Macaca mulatta: one gene and its partners. The protein of the gene in region 1 purifies or fractionates together with the protein of each later gene. This does not show direct contact. Links are inferred from orthologs where the notes say so. Each region holds a gene or a part of one and is shown in the gene's direction. Other genes may lie near its edges.

What was found. The genes of interacting proteins can lie anywhere in the genome.
Region 2: the proteins of XPO1 (region 1) and NUP214 purify together in Homo sapiens (affinity purification with western blotting; 4 studies listed by BioGRID and IntAct, with this or other methods). This does not show direct contact. The link is inferred for Macaca mulatta from reciprocal best matches to the Homo sapiens genes XPO1 and NUP214.
Region 3: the proteins of XPO1 (region 1) and RCC1 purify together in Homo sapiens (affinity purification with mass spectrometry; 3 studies listed by BioGRID and IntAct, with this or other methods). This does not show direct contact. The link is inferred for Macaca mulatta from reciprocal best matches to the Homo sapiens genes XPO1 and RCC1.

What each region holds. Positions count from the first base shown.
Region 1 is NC_133418.1:63,195,139-63,201,302, forward strand, and holds the start of XPO1 (exportin-1), read left to right. Parts: upstream 1-2,316; 5' UTR 2,317-2,950; intron 2,951-6,164. UniProt on the Homo sapiens protein: Mediates the nuclear export of cellular proteins (cargos) bearing a leucine-rich nuclear export signal (NES) and of RNAs.
Region 2 is NC_133420.1:16,415,457-16,421,052, reverse strand, and holds part of NUP214 (nuclear pore complex protein Nup214), read left to right. Parts: intron 1-369; coding exon 370-440; intron 441-2,162; coding exon 2,163-2,226; intron 2,227-2,691; coding exon 2,692-2,795; intron 2,796-3,894; exon of another isoform or gene 3,895-4,090; intron 4,091-4,928; coding exon 4,929-5,035; intron 5,036-5,596. UniProt on the Homo sapiens protein: Part of the nuclear pore complex. Has a critical role in nucleocytoplasmic transport.
Region 3 is NC_133406.1:212,368,763-212,374,358, reverse strand, and holds part of RCC1 (regulator of chromosome condensation), read left to right. Parts: exon of another isoform or gene 1-358; intron 359-3,128; coding exon 3,129-3,210; coding exon of another isoform or gene 3,211-3,232; intron 3,233-3,780; coding exon 3,781-3,873; intron 3,874-4,597; exon of another isoform or gene 4,598-4,802; intron 4,803-5,094; coding exon of another isoform or gene 5,095-5,117; coding exon 5,118-5,305; intron 5,306-5,485; coding exon 5,486-5,596. UniProt on the Homo sapiens protein: Guanine-nucleotide releasing factor that promotes the exchange of Ran-bound GDP by GTP, and thereby plays an important role in RAN-mediated functions in nuclear import and mitosis.

The sequences.
Region 1 (6,164 bases):
CTCAAGCGATCCTCCCACCTTGGCCTCCCAAAATGCTGGGATTACAGGCCTATGGTAAAATTGATTTTGTTATATGTCCTTCTACGGTTTTTTTGTTGTTTGTTTTGAGGAGTCCCATTCTGTTGCCCAGGCTGAACTGCGGTAGCGTGATCTTGGCTCACTGCAGCCTCTGCCTCCCAGGTTCCAGCCATTCTCCTGCCTTAACCTCCCGAGTAGCTGGGATTACAAGTACCCACCACCACGCCAGGTTAATTTTTGTATCTTCAGTAGAGAGGGGTTTCACCATGTTGGCCAGGCTGGTCTCGAACTCCTGACCTCAAGTGACCTGCCGAGCTCCGCCTCCCAAAGTGCTGGGATTACAGGCATGAACCACCATGCCTGGCCTATCCTTGTGTTTAAAGTGGCAGTTTCCAAGATCCTCTCCATGACCATGTTAAGTGAGGATTTACTGTATTTGCATATACTGTATTTGTAAACTTCCCGTTACACTTCAGTCTCTAGATTGCTTATAATAGCTTATATGATGTAAACTTTAAATCATCTCTACATTGCTTATAATGCCTTATACAATGTAAATGCTATATAAATATACTGCATTGCGTTTTATTTTGTATTATTTTTATTGTATTATTTTAAAAATATTTTCCACCCAGGGCTGGTTGAAATTGAGGATGGGGAACCCACGGATAGAGGGCCAACTGTACATCACATATCATACATAGTACTTTATATATGTATGTATATATGTATATAAAATGGCTTGATATTATTCATTTATGTAATGAATAAAAACTTAGGTCTGAAAATCATCCAAAATCATTCTGGTGCATCTAAACATTGAGTTGTTGGGTTTTTCTTTATTGGAGGGGGAGTTAGAATAAGTGGTGCTTTGAAGTTAGTCATAGTCCATCGTGAACGAACATTTGCTAAAGAAAATTGTATTACTTCAATAAACCATTTATCTACCTCTTGGTGGCACAAAGGGCCTAGTAAATTTTGGTGGGCTATTTGCTCTTAAGCAAAGAACAATCTGTAAAGCTGATTTGGAGGACGCTTGGGAACAAACAAGAGACGCAACCACGTGAAAGACAACGTGCATGTGACTTTCACAGAAAATACTATTTGGTGATGATTTAGTATGTGAAGTGCCGCTAGGGTGAAAGGAAAATCTGAGTGTTGCAGATCAAGGGCACCAGGTGGGACGCAGTTGGCATGCAAGCTCACCCAGCCAAAACATGCGCTGTCAAACCAATAACCTGGGATTACAATGTTTTGGCTTTCAGGAAAGGTTGGTTGTCGAAGCGGCCAAATTCCAGCCTGGGGAGGCAGAGTTGAAATTTTAAGACTTTCCCAAGAAGTATTTCGATATATTTTCCGAGACCCTGAGAAGATCACGAGGCGCCAAGAATGCACGCCCTGCGCCTCACCCCAACCTCTCTCTCAGCTACCTGGCCCAACCCAGGCCTCTAAAATGGATTAGAGGTCTGGGGCCTACAATTGGCCTCGGAAGTGTTCCTTTCCCTCCTTTCTCCACCCCTCCGAGAGTTCAAAACAACTGGGTGTGCCATCCCTTTTCCGAACGCATCCCCCATCTGAGGGGCGGATCCTAATTCCCGCGGGCTCAGGCCCCCGCAGGTTGGCGGGAGCCGGTGGGGGCGGGCCGGCCGAGTCCGGGAAGCAGATCGAACACCGCCGCGCGCCGCGATCAAACTCGCGCCGCCACTAGCTCACGAGCTGCGCCCCACCCTCTCCGTCACCGAAGGCGCCCAGCCAATGAGCGGGCGGGAAAGGCCGGGCCTGCGAACTAGGCACTGGGAGGGTGAGGGCCGCAGGGGGAAGGGAAGTCGAGAGCTCGAGGGCGGGCTGCACTTGATTGACAGCTCGTTCGAACGAATCCTCCACGCGGCTTTCCTTCGCTCTCTTTTCTACTCAGCCCTGCTCTTCGTCCCACCTCCTCCTCCTCCACCCCTCTCCTCTTGCCTTTCGACCCTCCCCACTTCCCCTCCCCCACTCTGCGGGCAAATCGCTGCTGAAAAGAGGCGGGGGCCGAAGCGGCGGGCTCGTGTGGAGCCTTGAGGTGGGATTGACTGGCGCTCAGGCCAATGAGAGATAGGCTCATGGCGCGGCTGTAGCTGGAACTGACCAATAGGAGGGCGGGCTGGGGGCGGAGGCCCAGGTTCCAAACGCTCCGCGGCGCCATGGGCTGAAAACTCAACCGAGATGGAATCTCCCAGTCTGAACCGGTTTCAACCGGTTCCGAGTTTGAGGCACTAGGAGGAGGGGGAGAAGCGGCTGCAGCGGCCGCGGCAGGAGCAGCGGGAGCTACAGCATCAGCAAGAGCAACAGTAGCTACAGCCCCGGCGGCGGTGCCTGTTCCAGTCTTTGCTGCTGCAGTCCGTGCAACCACCCAGAGGGGGAGGGGGGAACCACCAGTCGCTGAGGAGCAAGAGAAGGGGGGAAAGTTTAGGCGAGCCTGGGGGGGGCCCAGCGCCGGAGCCGCGTGAGAGAGGGAGCCGTGTTTTGGTAGGGGGGAGTCGGACTGCAACTGGCAGCAGAGCGTCCCCCCGGCCGTGTGGACTCTACACCCCCTACTCCTGCCGCTTCTGCTGCTGCCTGTGGCTGGAGGGTCCCCCTGGGGCTGAATCTTTGGGACTTGACCCGGTTCCCTCCCCCTTCCCTCACTCCCCAGCCGGGCGGGAGCATTTATTCCCCAGATTAATTCCCCTTCTTTTTTGGGGGGCGGGTGGGTGTGTGTGTTGGGGGGAAGCGTCCCTGAAATAGTAAATATTATTGAGCTCTTTTTGCCCTTTTCCTCTCCGTTTTTTTAATTTCTTTTTTTAAGGTGGGAAAACTGTGAAACCCACCTTGATTCGTCCCCTCTCCCCCTCCCCACCTTCCCTGGCCCTAATCCCCCGACAAGGAAGGAAGGAGCAGTTGGTTCAATCTCTGGGTAAGTCGACTGTGTCTTTGGGGCCGAGGGTCGGGCGGCGGCGCGGCCGGGCGGGAGGAGGCCAGCGTGGGGCGCGGCGGTCGCGGGAAGCGAGCCCAGGAGGCGGCGGGCGGGCCGGGGGCGCGCCGGGCCCACAGCGGAGCCTGCGATTGAATGGAGCCGCTTTTGCCGCTGGGGGATGGAGGCGGGGAGGCGGCCGCGGGAGGGGAGCGCTTGCTGGGTCATTCGCGTGTGCGGGTGGCGGTGGAGGAAGGCGAGGAGCGTGATAGTGAAACGGGGCCCCGCGCGGGGTGGAAGGGCTTCCCCAGCCCCACGGGCTGGGGAGAAGTTGGGGTGATTTCAGGAACATCTCTGTAAATTATTAGGAGTGGAAGTTTCCAGAAATATTTAGTGCAGCAGCATTGAAACGTCCGCCTGCATCACGTGGCCCCCTCGGTGGAGAGCTTGGGATGGGGGAGGGAGGGGCTGCCGACTCCCTGTTCCTCCAGCAAGGAAACTCGAAAGCTCTCCGGTTTTTTGCAGAGTGGCATGTGAAGTAGGAAAGATGAATTTTTCAGGGGCCTGCACATGGGATTCCGTCTTGTAGTTCCTTTTCAGGGGGTTGTGTGTGATAAGTTGGTTAAACCATTTACTGGTGGCCTCGTACAGTGGAGGATGCCCTGATTCTCCTTCATTCCGATGTCTGAGTTTGGGTTGGGTGGGAGGAAGTGGTGTAGTAGAGGAAGCATTCATTACTGGCTCAGCCCGGACCTCCTCTGATCACGCCGAGGCCATGCTGCATAGAGAAAGGGGCGTTGAACTTAAGGCGCCTGGTCTAAATGCCTCCTCCGAGTATGGGCGGGGTGAGTGCGTGCTCCCGTGTGCTATAGTTAGAAGGGCTGCAAATCGGTTCGGGTGGGAAGCCAGGGGAGGGCGGGCCCTAGTGAGGTGTGTTTCTCCTGAATGAAGCAGGCGGTTGCCCACACACCTAAGGAGCAGTCAGTCTTTCGCCTTGTAGCGACTTGTTTTTTTTTTTCACCTAGTGTGAAGTTATTAAGCAACGGTTATGATTTCCTGGGTTTTGGATAGGAACTGGCATTGGGGGTCACTTGTAGAGTCACAACATTATCCATTAAGCTGGATAATCCCTAGTGTATGTTATCCAGTGAGTGGATTTTAGGATTGAAGAGCCCAACGGGAATGAGCGTTCGTGGTTACACCTCTCCCTCTTTGACTTGTTTGCTGTCTGATTGTATATCTTAAGTGTGGGACGCTGCTGTTAGTGGAAAGAATGTTTTGGAAGCGGCTTGGTTTGGGGGACTAAATGTGCTTGGCATTGACCACAAAGCCGCCATTTCTGTACTATGTACAGTTCAAGAATAGGTAGGTCATTTCGAAGACAGCCGCTAGTTCTAAGGATGGCAAACTACTGTATTTAAATCCTTCTATTCTAAATCTCGTTTTTCACATCAGTCTAGTTCGGAGAATTCTATAAGGACAGTGTATTTGAAAGTGAAACTTGGAAGAGTCATTTTCTTAATCCTTTTTTGTTTTGGCATTAAACTATTGTAGGAGTAAATAGGTGAAAAGTTTGTTCAATAATTAACCGAAATATTTGAAAACTTCTGATACGTAGATCTTGATGCTTTGTGGACATTGCTTTTAAGCCTCAAATAATTAAGATTGTTCTGATCTTTTAAATTTTATAGTAGTTGAAGGTGGAGAGTTTACACATTCATTTGTGGAATATATATTTCCTCTCAGTTTTTAGATCTTAAGGGTTTTTTTTGTGGTGTGTAACAAGTATCCTGCTGTTTAAAAAAGTTTGTTTAATGCCTACTACAAAATATTTTGAAGTCTCATCAGTTTTGTCAATAATGGACCAATTCTTGAACTCCTAATTTCTTGAGTTTCACATTATTTTTACATCATGTCAGTCATAGGTGACTCATTTTTTGGAGTTCTAATCTGTTGTAACAGACGTTATATTTAAATGAGACATTTGCATTAAAATTGAAATTGCTGCCATTATTATGGACATTTTTAAGCTGTTATAAAATAGCCAGGAATTAACGCCTTTTTTCCCCCCTGCCAAGCTAGTTTGTCCAAATACAGTGTAAAGAAATTAGCTACTCATTTTCTGGTCCATGAAAGTTCCTAAAATGGGAAGAAGCGGAGATCTGACCTTGTTAGTTCTAAATACACTAAACCGGGGGTGCCATGGATGGCTTTCAGGATGTCCTGAATCCTCTACAATTGTATACAGAATCATGAGTTTTTAAAAACTAGGTTAGAGCTATTGGTTCCTCAGAGTCTCAGGCATCTTAGACCCCAAAAAAGGTTAAGGACTACTGACTTAACCAGTTAGGTTTGAGTGGCATTGGCTTTGAAGAAAAGCAGAGGAAAGATATTTTTTATAATTCTGGGCAACAAAAAGTTGGATGTGTGCCAGCATCTTAGAGTAGAATCCTCTTAAAAGGATAGCGTTGCATATGAACTAGTAGGTTTTAACCAGTACATATTTTGGCGAAGTAGCTCATTTTTCTCTTAGAATTCTTTTTTATTTGGGAATGGGCAGGCTTTTACAGCTTTTAACTTGCCAATGAATCTTGTTAGGCATATTGCCCGTAAAGTTTTTTTTCCTAGATTATATATTCAGTAAATATGATTGTAGATGTAATTTCAATCCCCCAATTCATTGAGGGTTGAAACAATTTGAATGGTTTGAGTGTAGAAACTAAGTTATTTCTGTAGAGGCTAAGGGGATTTATACCAAGATATGTTAGACTTGTGGTTCCTGCTAACCATTGCTGTAGACGATAGGAATTACTGTATATCCACATTTTGATTTTTAACGTCATTCTGTCTTTTTTTGTTTGTTTTTTGAGATGGAGTCTCAATTCTGTTGCCCAGGCTGGAGTGGGGTGACGCATCTTGGCTCACTGCAACCTCCATCTCCTGGGTTCAAGCAGTTCTCCTGCCTCAGCCTCCTGAGTAGCTGGGATTACAGGCGCCTGCCTCCACGCCTGACTAATTTTTCTATTTTTAGTAGAGATGGGGTTTTGCCATTGTTGGCCAGGCTGGTCTGGAACTCTTGACCTCAAGTGATCCGCCCACCTCGGCCTCCCAAAGTGCTGGGATTACAGGTGTGAGCCACTGCGCTCAGCCCATTCTGTCTTTATAGAATTATTTTTATAAAGTTAAGATAATGTGAAGTGAGCTTTTACTGAGTTAT
Region 2 (5,596 bases), on another chromosome or scaffold:
AACTTCTGACCTCAAGTGATCTGTCTACCTTAAGCTCCCAAAGTGTTGGGATTACAGGCGTGAGCCACCCCGGCCAGTGATTTCCTGGTATTTGGAAACCTTCTCTATTCTGCTTGTCTTATCTAAAGACTACAGAGTTTTCTGTATTTTGCAGCTTTTTTAGCTTTCAATTCAGTAAGCCCAGTGATAAATCAATTGGCTTATGTCGTTAAAATGATTTTACTTTTTTCCACTTTGCTGGAAAGGGATGATCCTACAGTCTTCCATGGACTGACAGAGGAATGAGAATTGATAATTAGCTGTGTGTGATAGATCTCATTGGTTTGCTCCATTTTCTTGTTTTTATTTGGTAATATTGTCTTTGCTCAGTGTGCTGGAGCCCCAAAGGAAAGCAGCTGGCAGTGGGAAAACAGAATGGAACTGTGGTCCAGTATCTTCCTGTAAGTTCTTATCTTGAACTTCAGAATTTTTCTTAAGTTGCTCGCTTTTTGAGGGAGTGGTTTGGGAGTATCTTTCTTGTTTTTCCTATTAAAAAGTAATTTATACTCATTGTAACAAATCCATCAGTGAGTGAAGAGTGGAGCTCTTCCCTTCCTTCCCATAGTCCTCCTTCCAGAGGCACCCACTGTGTTGTGTTGAGTAGGTAGCCTTCCAGACTTTTCTGGATGTTATACAAACAGTCTATGTGTAGCTGCGTTTTTGTTTTGTTTTGTTTTTTATGTAAAATGCGATAATACACTATGCACTGTTCCCCAACTCTTTCAGTCCATTCCATAAAAACAGAGCTGAAGGGAAAAGAGTGAAAAAGCTATGTTGATAATGCAGAATCACTCTGGGTTAAAGCACAGTATTTGTCTTTTCACTGAGTCCGTCTTTAAGGGTCTGTTTCTCTAACTATGGGCACTAAAGAAAATGGGTACTCTTGTTGTTGCATGTGCACTCTGTCATCCTCCCTGTGAATTTCTTGAGATAATGTTCACAAATATCCTTCAATATCAATTGAGTTGCAAGGAACCCACATGTATCTATTGAGCCTGGGTACGAAGGAGGGATTCACAGGTGGTGCTAAGGCCTTTGTTGTGCCTTCTTCCTCGAGACTGTTCTCTGGCGAGGAGGGGAGCAGAGTGCTGAATGTAGGTGGTGTGGGTTTAAGGTTATGTTTCTTATTTGTTATTATCGAAAGTTACATGAAATTTGGTACATAATCTTTTAGGGCACTAACCTGTAAAAAGATAATGCAATTTATTTAATTTTCTTGCTTTGCTGTTTGCCTTTTTTTTTTTTTTTTTTTGGAGAGATGGTCTTGCTCTGTTGCCCAGGCTGGGGTGCAATGCTGTGATAACGTAATGGCTCACTGCAGCCTCAGCCTCGTGGACTCAGGTGATCCGTCCGCCTCAGCCTCCTAGGTAGCTGGGACTACAGGCGCTTGCCACCATGCACAGCTAATTTTTGTATTTTTTGTAGAGACAGGGTTTTGCCATGTTGCCCAGGTTAGTCTCAAACTCCTGGGCTCAAGCAGTGTGCCCACCTTGGCCTTCCAAAGTGCCGAGATTACAGACATGAACCACCTCGCCCAGCCTTATTCCACTATTGATGATTATCTGCATCAGTGCTAGTGGTGTTGCTGCTGTGAATGGTGTTGCATTGACTACTCTCATTACCTATAGCTGAACATGTTCATGCGTTTTTTTTTTTTTTTTTTGACACTGAGTTTTGCTCTTGTCGCCCAGGCTGGAGTGCAGTGGCGTGATCTCAGCTCACTGCAACCTACGCCTCCTGGGTTCAAGCAGTTCTCCTGCCTCAGCCTCCCAAGTAGCTGGGATTGCAGGTGCCCGCCACAATGCCTGGCTATGTATTTTTAGTAGAGACAAGGTTTCGCCATGTTGGCCAGGCTATTCTCGAACTTCTGACCTCAGGTGATCCACCTGCCTCAGCCTCCCAAAGTGTTGGGATTACAGGCGTGAGTCACCACACCCGGCCACGTTCATACATTTCTGTAGGACAAAGTCCTGGAAGTAGATAGCACTGTTCTGTGTCTTCAGTCTCGCCTGGCCAAGGAGATGGAATAGGTGGCATCTAAGGAATAGATTAGATTTGATAGTTTGATTGGTTTAGGGATTGTTTCATTTGATACTTTATTTTGCCCTCCAAATCTCTTTCAGACTTTGCAGGAAAAAAAAGTCATTCCTTGTCCTCCGTTTTATGAGTCAGATCATCCTGTCAGAGGTAATAACTGCTTTTCTTATTGGGCTGACCTCTAATGACATGTTATGTATATTACGGAAATTCAAAATCATGTAATGTACCTGCTCAGTGAGGTGTTGGTGTTTGCTTTATGAATAATGTCACTATTTCAAAGAGCTAGTTAAGTCAGTGTAAATTATGGCCCTCTGGGTGACATCTGTGTTTCATGGTAAATGACATGAAATGGATCCCAACTTTTTATTACAATTCTTCATAATTTGCCCTGATTATAATCCAGCAGAAAAATTACCATTTGGGGATGAGTTTGGGCTTCTTGGATCTTTGTACCTGTGAGTTATTTTTAGTCAATGAAATTTGGGCCTTTGATTTTTTTTTTATCCATGGTGTGTATTATAGCATGCAGTGGCTATTCCAAACATAAGTTGCTTTTGGTTGCATCTGGTTGCTGTCATTTTTATGACCTACTGATTAAGATGTGTCTTTCAGTTCTGGATGTGCTGTGGATCGGTACATACGTCTTCACAATAGTGTATGCTGCTGCAGATGGGACCCTGGAAACGTCTCCGGATGTGGTGATGGCTCTCCTGCCGGTATGCATGTGAAAGAAATTTCATTGTTTGAGAATTAGAGAAGTCTTTTTTTTTTTTTTTTTGAGACAGAGTCTCGCTTAGTCGCCCAGGCTGGAGTGCAATGGCGCAATCTCGGCTCACTGCAAGCTCCGCCTCCCGGGTTCACGCCATTCTCCTGCCTCAGCCTCCCGAGTAGCTGGGACTACAGGCGCCCGCCGCCTCGCCCGGCTAATTTTTTGCATTTTTAGTAGAGACGGGGTTTCACCGTGTTAGCCAGGATGGTCTCGATCTCCTGACCTCGTGATCCGCCCGCCTCGGCCTCCCAAAGTGCTGGGATTACAGGCGTGAGCCACCGCGCCCGGCAGAGAATTAGAGAAGTCTTCTAATAAAGCTGGAGGCTTTGATTTCAAGGTTTTTTTTGTGTTTGTGGGGTGTTTTTTTTTTTTTTTTGTAAGTTGAAAATGTAATTTTAATAGTTAATTCTTCATCTTACATAGGAGCACAATAAAATACACCACAATCTGAAGAAACTCTTTTTTTTTTTTTTTTTTTTTTTTGAGATGAGATCTCACTCTGTCACCCAGACTGGAGTGCAGTGATGCGATCTCACCGCACTGAAGCCTGGACCTCCTGGACTCAAGTGATCCTCCCACCTTAGCCTTCTGAGTAGCTGGTACTACAGGTGCACACCACTATGCCTGGCTAATTTTTGTTTTTTTTGTTTTTTTTGTTTTTTTGGTGGAGATGGGGTTTCGCCATGTTGCCCAGACTGGTCTTGAACTCCTGAGCTCAAGTGATCTGCCCACCTAGGCCTCCCAAAGTGCTGGGATTACAGGTGTGCATCACCGCACCTGGCCTGATTTCAGGTTCTTTTACTTACTGGCAGTGATTATGCAACTTCAGGTATAAGGTTTCCATGCTGTACCATGGGCCTGGGGTCCAAAGTTAGAGTGTCCACAGCCGTGTTCTATTGTTTTGGTATGAAGTTAAAAAAAAAATGATTTTGCTTAAGTTATAAACTATGGGTCTTGGTTAACTCGATAAATTTTAGAAGAGCAAGACAGTATCTTGATTTTTAAAATTACTTTGTTTGCTCTCAAATTTTTAATGCCAACAATGTGCTAGGCACTGCTTTAAAGCTGAGTATATAGCAGTGATCAAGGTGATGGCCTTGCTTTTATGGTTTTAAATTTGTTGTTGTTGATAATTTTTACTTATTTTTTAGAGACAGAGTCTCAGTCTCTTGCCCAGGCTGGAGTGTAGTGGTGTGATCACAGCTCACTACAGCCTCAAATTCTTGGGCTTAAGCCATCCTCCTGCCTCAGCCTCCCAAGTAGCTGGGACCACAGGCATGCACCAACACACCCAGCTGTTTTTAAATTTTTCGTAGAGGTGGGGTCTTGCTTTGTTGCCCACACTGGTCTCAAACTCCTGGCTTTAAGCAGTTCTCCCACCTCGATCTCTCAAAGCACTAGGATTATAGGTCTGAGCCACTACACCTGGCTGGGCTTACATTCTAATGGGATAGTCAATACTAAGTGTGAGATCAAGGACTGGTAAGAGTGATGGAGAAAATAAAGCTGTGTTAGGGATAGATGATGACTGGTACGTATTTGAGATTGGGTGTCAATGGAGGCCAATTTGATATTTGAAAAAGATGCCTTGTTTTTAACTCTTGGGTTTCTAATAAGGTTGAATTTTTAAAATGTTTATCTAGATGCCTTCTTTTAAGATTAGTTAGAGGTTTTTTCTATTCTAGGGGATAATATTAACACTAGTATTTATTAACTGCTAGTTATGTTTCACGTACTGGGCTGGAAGTTTTATATGTATCATTTCATTTTACACTTACAGTAGCCTCTGAAGTAGGCTTAGGAGATCTAGCATACACATGAAAACACTAAGTATCAGGAAGGTTGAAAAATCTGCCTCTCTCATGGACAGAAAGTGGCAGAACAGAGTTTAAATGCGGTTCGCTTGATGGCCAATGTTTGTACTCCTTGTACTAAGTGCTGCCTTTATACCATGTCCCTATATCTGGACTTAGACTTTGAGTGAATATTCTCATACAACTTTAAATGATTTATCATTTGAGATTCTTTTACTGTAGGATCCGAGAAAAACCTAATTTTTTTCTTGCTTTGTTCATTGTAGAAAAAAGAAGAAAAGCACCCAGAGATATTTGTGAACTTTATGGAGCCCTGTTACGGCAGCTGCGCGGAGAGGCAGCACCATTACTACCTCAGTTACATTGAGGAGTGGTGAGCAGAGAGTCTGGACAGGGCATTCCTGCTCTCACTGGAAGATCACGCCTGAGTCATCTTGTCCCATGTTGAAATGTTTTCTGATTGATTGATTGATGGATGGATTGGCAGGGTCTCACTCCATTACCCAGGCTGGAGTACAGTGGCACGATTGTAGCTCACAGAAGCCTGGAACTCCCAGGCTTACGTGATCCTTCCACCTCAGCCTCCTAGATGGGACTACAGGCACATGCCACCACACCTGGCTTAGTTTTAAAGTTTTTGTTTGTTTGTTTGTGTTTTGGTAGAGATGGGATCTTGTTACGTTGCTCAGGCTGGCTTCCTAAAGTACTGAGATTATAGGTGTGAACTGTAGCACCCAGCCTGAAATCTTTTCTATTATAGAGGAAAATGGAGGCTGAGATACCTTGAACGTATTTTCAGCTTATTCTTGATAATGTCTATTATTTCTTTTTCCCCAATCTTGAGTTATTTATATTAAATACGTACTAATTTCGAAAATCTAATTTTCTCAATAACCCCTAGTGATGACTTATGAAAATACTGATACTCAAGGAA
Region 3 (5,596 bases), on another chromosome or scaffold:
CTCCATTGACAACGGCTGTACCCTTAAAATAGGGCGCATGCTGGGTGACATCAGGTGCACAGTATGAGGAACTGGTGCCAGAATTTTGCTTGACCGGAACCAGACCACAACATGTTTGTCAAACTTGTTCTTCCAGAATCAGCAGGCCTGATGGCTGCAGTGGCAGAAATACCCCAAGGAATGACACTCACATGCCGGCAGCTGATGCTCGGAGCAACCTGCCCACAGCAGCTGCCGTCTTAAAGTGCATACGTATTTTTGTTTTTTTTGAGACAGGGTCTCACTCTGTCGCCCAGGCTGAAGTGCAATGGCACAACCTCAGCTCACTGCAGCCTCAGCCTCCCAGGCAGAAGCCATCCTCCCACCTCAGCCTCCTGAGTAGCTGGGACTGCAGGCGTGCACCACCATGCCCAGCTAATTTTTGTAATTTTTTGGATAGAGATGGGGTTTCGTCATGTTGCCCAGGTTGGTCTTGAACGCCTGGGCTCAAGCGATCTTCCCGCCTCGACCTCCCAAAGTGCTAGGATTACAGATGTGGTGGCACCTTGTCTCTAAAAAAATCAATCACATAAGAAAAGATAATAGCTTTTCTCCCCCTCTGATTTTAACAGTAACACATTACCAAAGTTACTGGTGCTTACATGGGGTTGAATGAAGTTACGATGGATATTTCACTTAATGTTGTTCTTGAATGCTTTAATTTTTTACAACAGACTTAAAATTTTTTTTTTTTTTTTTTTTTTTTTTTTTGAGACGGAGTCTTGCTCTGTCGCCCAGGCTGGAGTGCAGTGGCCGGATCTCAGCTCGCTGCAAGCTCTGCCTCCCGGGTTTATGCCATTCTCCTGCCTCAGCCTCCCGAGTAGCTGGGACTACAGGCGCCCGCCACCTCGCTCGGCTAGTTTTTTGTATTTTTTAGTAGAGACGGGGTTTCACCATGTTAGCCAGGATGGTCTCGATCTCCTGACCTCATGATCCGCCCGACTCGGCCTCCCAAAGTGCTGGGATTACAGGCTTGAGCCACCGCGCCCGGCCGAGACTTAAAATTTTTTAAAATACATGTGACTGGGCACGGTGGCTCACGCCTGTAATCTCAGCACTTTGGGAGGCCGAGGTGGGTGGATCACCTGAGGTCAGGAGTTCAAGACCAGCGTGATCAACATGTTGAAACCCCATCTCTACTAAAAATACAAAATTCAGGAAAATCACTTGAACTTGGAAGGTAGAGGTTGTGGTGAGCCGAGATCGTGCCATGGCACTCCAGCATAGGCAACAAGAACAAAACTCTGCTTCAAAAAACAAAACAAAACAAAACAAAAAACATGTAATTGGTCGGACGCAGTGGCTCACGCCTGTAATCCCAGCACTTCAGGAGGCTGAGGCAGGTGGATCACTTGAGATTAGGAGTTTGAGACCAGCCTGGCCAACATGGTGAAACCCTGTCTCTACTAAAAATACAAAATTTGGGCCAGGTGCAGTGGCTCACGCCTATAGTCCCAGCACTTCGGGAGGCCGGGGGTTGGAGGGGGTGGATCACCTGAGGTCAGGAGTTCGAGACCAGCCTGGCCAAACTGGTGAAACCTTGTCTCTACTAAAAATACAACAATTAGCTGGGTGTGGTGGTGGGCACCTGTAATCCCAGCTACTCGAGAGGCTGAGGCAGGAGAATCACTTAAACCCAAGAGGCAGAGGTTGCAGTGAGCCGAGATTGCACCATTGCACTCTAGCCTGCGCGACAGAACGAGACTCCGTCTCAAAAAAAAAAAAAACAAAGCAGGGCATGGTGATGCACGCCTGTAATCTCAGCTACTCAGAAGGCTGAGGCACAAGAATCACTTCAACCTGGGAGGCAGAAGTTGCAGTGAGCTGAGATGCCTGTGCACTCTAGCCTGGCGAGGGAGTGAGACTCCGTCTCAAAAAAAAAAGAAAAATACATATAGTGCTCCTTGTTAAACATCTTAGATAATATAGGAAGTTACAATGAAACAAGTAATTATTATCTATAATACCATTTTCCAGAGGTTACCATTGTTAATATGGGATATATTTTCTTCCCCAGATTTTTCTCATATTTTTTATGTGTATGCATTTTTTTTCCAAAAAAAAAAGGATGATAGGCTGTTTTTCTTTCTTTTTTTTTCTTTTTTTGGTGGGGGGATGGAGTTTCACTCTGTCACCCAGGCTGGAGTACTGAGTGCAATGTTGTGATCTTGGCTCACTGCAACCTCCACCTCCTGGGTTCAAGCAGTTTTCCTGCCTCAGCCTCCCGAGTAGCTGGGATTACAGTCACGCACCACCATGCCTGGCTGATTTTTGTGTATATATATATTTTTAGTGGCACTGGGGTTTTACCATGTTGGCCAGGCTGGTCTCGGACTCCTGACCTCAAGTGATCCACCCAGCTTGGCCTCCCAAAGTGCTGGGATTACAGGCATGAGCCACTGCGCCTAGCCTTTTTTTTTCTTTTTTTGAAACAGAGTCTGGCTCTGTTGCCCAGGCTGGAGTGCAGTGACTCCATCTTGACTCACTGCAACCTCCACCTCCCAGGTTCAAGCAATTCTCCTGCCTCAGCCTCCTGAGTAGCTGGGATTACAGGCGCCCATCACTGCGCCTGGCTAATTTTTGTATTTTTAGTAGAGATGGGGTTTTGCCATGTTGGCCAGGCTGGTTTCGAACTCCTGATCTCAGGTAATCCGCCCGCTCCGGCCTCCCACAGTGTTGGGATTACAGATGTGAGCCACCGCACCTGGCCATCTGTTTTTCATTCTGCTTTACTTGGCAATGGGGAACATCTTTCTATTCAATAGATTGATCTCTGAAAACATCACTTTTGATGACTTCATACTGTTCTATCATGAATATACCACATATTTAACTAGTTCACTACTATTGAACCCCTGGGTGGTTCTGTTTTTGTTGTTTTTACAATGTTATGAAGAATACAGTAGAGAATATTTGTGTAATTGATCTTTGGGTGCATCCATTATTCTGTTCTTGGGATACATTTTGAGAAGTGGAATTGCTGGGCAATTCCTCTTAACCTATTTCTAGGGTTTTTGATAAATATTGTCTAATTGGCCCAGGAAAATGTTTGCCATTTCTGATATGTAGTATTTGACTGACTTTTTCAGGGCAGGAAGATGTCACCCAAGCGCATAGCTAAAAGAAGGTCCCCCCCAGCAGATGCCATCCCCAAAAGCAAGAAGGTGAAGGGTAAGTTGGCCTTGGCCTCTTTGTGGGTACAGGTGGCCCCTCGAAACCCTGAGAACCCGGGACTGGGCTCCCTCCTTCCTGACACTTGAAACTGAAGGGTGTGGATGAGCAGAAACCCCACCCAGCTGGAATGTTTCCCATAGCTCGTTGAATCCCACTCTTTGGCAATCACAAAGTAGGCAGAAACTCCTCCCAAGGCACTTAGGCAGTACTGGCAAAAAAAACTAGACCCTAGGGCTTCACCCCAGCCAGTGATGCATTGTGGTTAGGACCACTGACTTTACGACATGGGTTCAAGTCCTTGCTCTGCCACTTTCTAGCTGATGGGCAAGTCACTTAATCCTGCAGTTTGGATTATCAACTTCATAAAATGGAGGCAGCCAGAGCAGCACCACCCGCTCTGGGCTGTGTGAGGATGAGATGAGATAATGGCCTGGCAGAATTTGAGGGAGGTGGCTGTGGTTTCCTCTCTCCTGGGACACCGGAGGGGCACAGGGAGGAAAGAAAAGCCAGCACTAAACTGGGAGGGGAAGTGTGGACCCACGCTCAGACAGTGTCTGTCTTTTGCAGACGCGAGGGCCGCTGCCTCCCGCCGCATTCCTGGCGCCCGCTCCTGCCAAGGTGCCTGTGGGCCGAGCCCTCCTGACCAGAAAACCCGACCAGGTGGCTCCGCGCCCGGCGCGCCCTCTGTGCTGCCAGCGCGGGCTCCTCAGCGGTGCCACAGCCTCGGGGGAGGGGCTGGGCGCCATTGGCTGCCCGGGACTGCGGGTTGGGGGGCTGCCTTTGGCCCACAGAGGGCCCCGGGCCGCCCACTGGTTGGTGCGCACCTCCTGCAAATGCCGCTGGCCGCTCTTCCTCCTGCCCCTCCTGCCTTTCCACTGGATGGCGGAGGGAGGAGTCCGTTTCTGCAGTGGATTTGCCCGGGAGCTGAACTTACTCACTGGCGGACGGCCTGGGCATGGAGGAGGGCTAGGATGGAGATTGGGCACTGTGCTCTGACCCACGTAGTCTCCCTTGCTTTTGGTGCAGATTCTATTATAATTAGCTTTCGGCCAGGCACGGTGTCTCACGCCTGTAATCGCAACACTTTGGGAGGCTGAGGCGGGCGGATCACGAGGTCAGAAGATCCAGACCATCCTGGCTAACATGGTGAAACCCCGTCTCTACTAAAATACAAAAAAATTAGCCATGCGTGGTGGCGGGCACCTGTAATCCCAGCTACACGGGAGGCTGAGGCAGAGGAATCACTTGAACCCAGGAGGCAGAGGTTGCAGTTAGCCGAGAGCCGCCACTGCACTCCAGCCTGGCAACAGAGGGAGACTCCGTCTCAAACTAATAATAATAATAATAATTAGCTTTCTTTTCTTTTTTTTTTTTTTTTTTTGAGATCGAGTCTCACTCTGTCACCTAGACTAGAGAGGGCAATGGCGCGATCTCGGCTCTGCCACCTCCGCCTCCTAGGTTCAAGTGATTCTCCTGCCTCAGCCCCCCCGAGTAGCTGGGATTACAGGCTACTGTTGGCCAGGCTGGTCTCGAACTCCTGTCCTCAAGTGATCCGCCCGCCTTGGCCTCCCAAAGTGCTAGGATTACAGGTGTGAGCCACCGTACCCGGCCCCTCTTGCCCTCTCCACCAAGATTCATTTCACAGTATCCAGTGTCTCCTTGTTTCCCTTTCTCCCCTTTCATGTGAATAATGTCCTCAGTTCTTAATCTCCACAAAAATCCTGTGAGAGAGGTATTTTGTTGTCCCCATTTCACAGATGACAAAACTTAGACTCAGAAAGTTCATACTAACGGTCTGTGGCAGAGCAAGGGCTTCCGCCCAGGTTTGTCTGATCGCAGAGCCTGCGACCTCTCCTCGCTGTAGTCATCCTCTACACTCAGGGTCTATCTTCTTCACCCTTCAGTCTCACACAGGTCCCACAGCACAGAACCCGGCTTGGTGCTGACACTAGGCCAGGGCGATGTGGGCCAGCTGGGGCTGGGTGAGAATGTGATGGAGAGGAAGAAGCCGGCCCTGGTATCCATTCCAGAGGATGTTGTGCAGGCTGAGGCTGGGGGCATGCACACCGTGTGTCTAAGCAAAAGTGGCCAGGTAGGTGTTGGGGGCTGGCATAGGGTTGGACAAGGCCTGGGATTGGGTGGCTTGGGGCAGGGCTTTTGAACCACACATGTTCACTGTGGAAATGGAGCTGGCTAGTCCAGCGGGGAGTGGCCTACATGAGAATGGACTGCGAGGCCAGACTTTGCATTAATGAGGGCATCCTGGGCACAGGTCTATTCCTTCGGCTGCAATGATGAGGGTGCCCTGGGAAGGGACACATCAGTGGAGGGCTCGGAGATGATCCCTGGGAAAGTGGAGCTGCAAGAGAAGGTGGTACAGGTG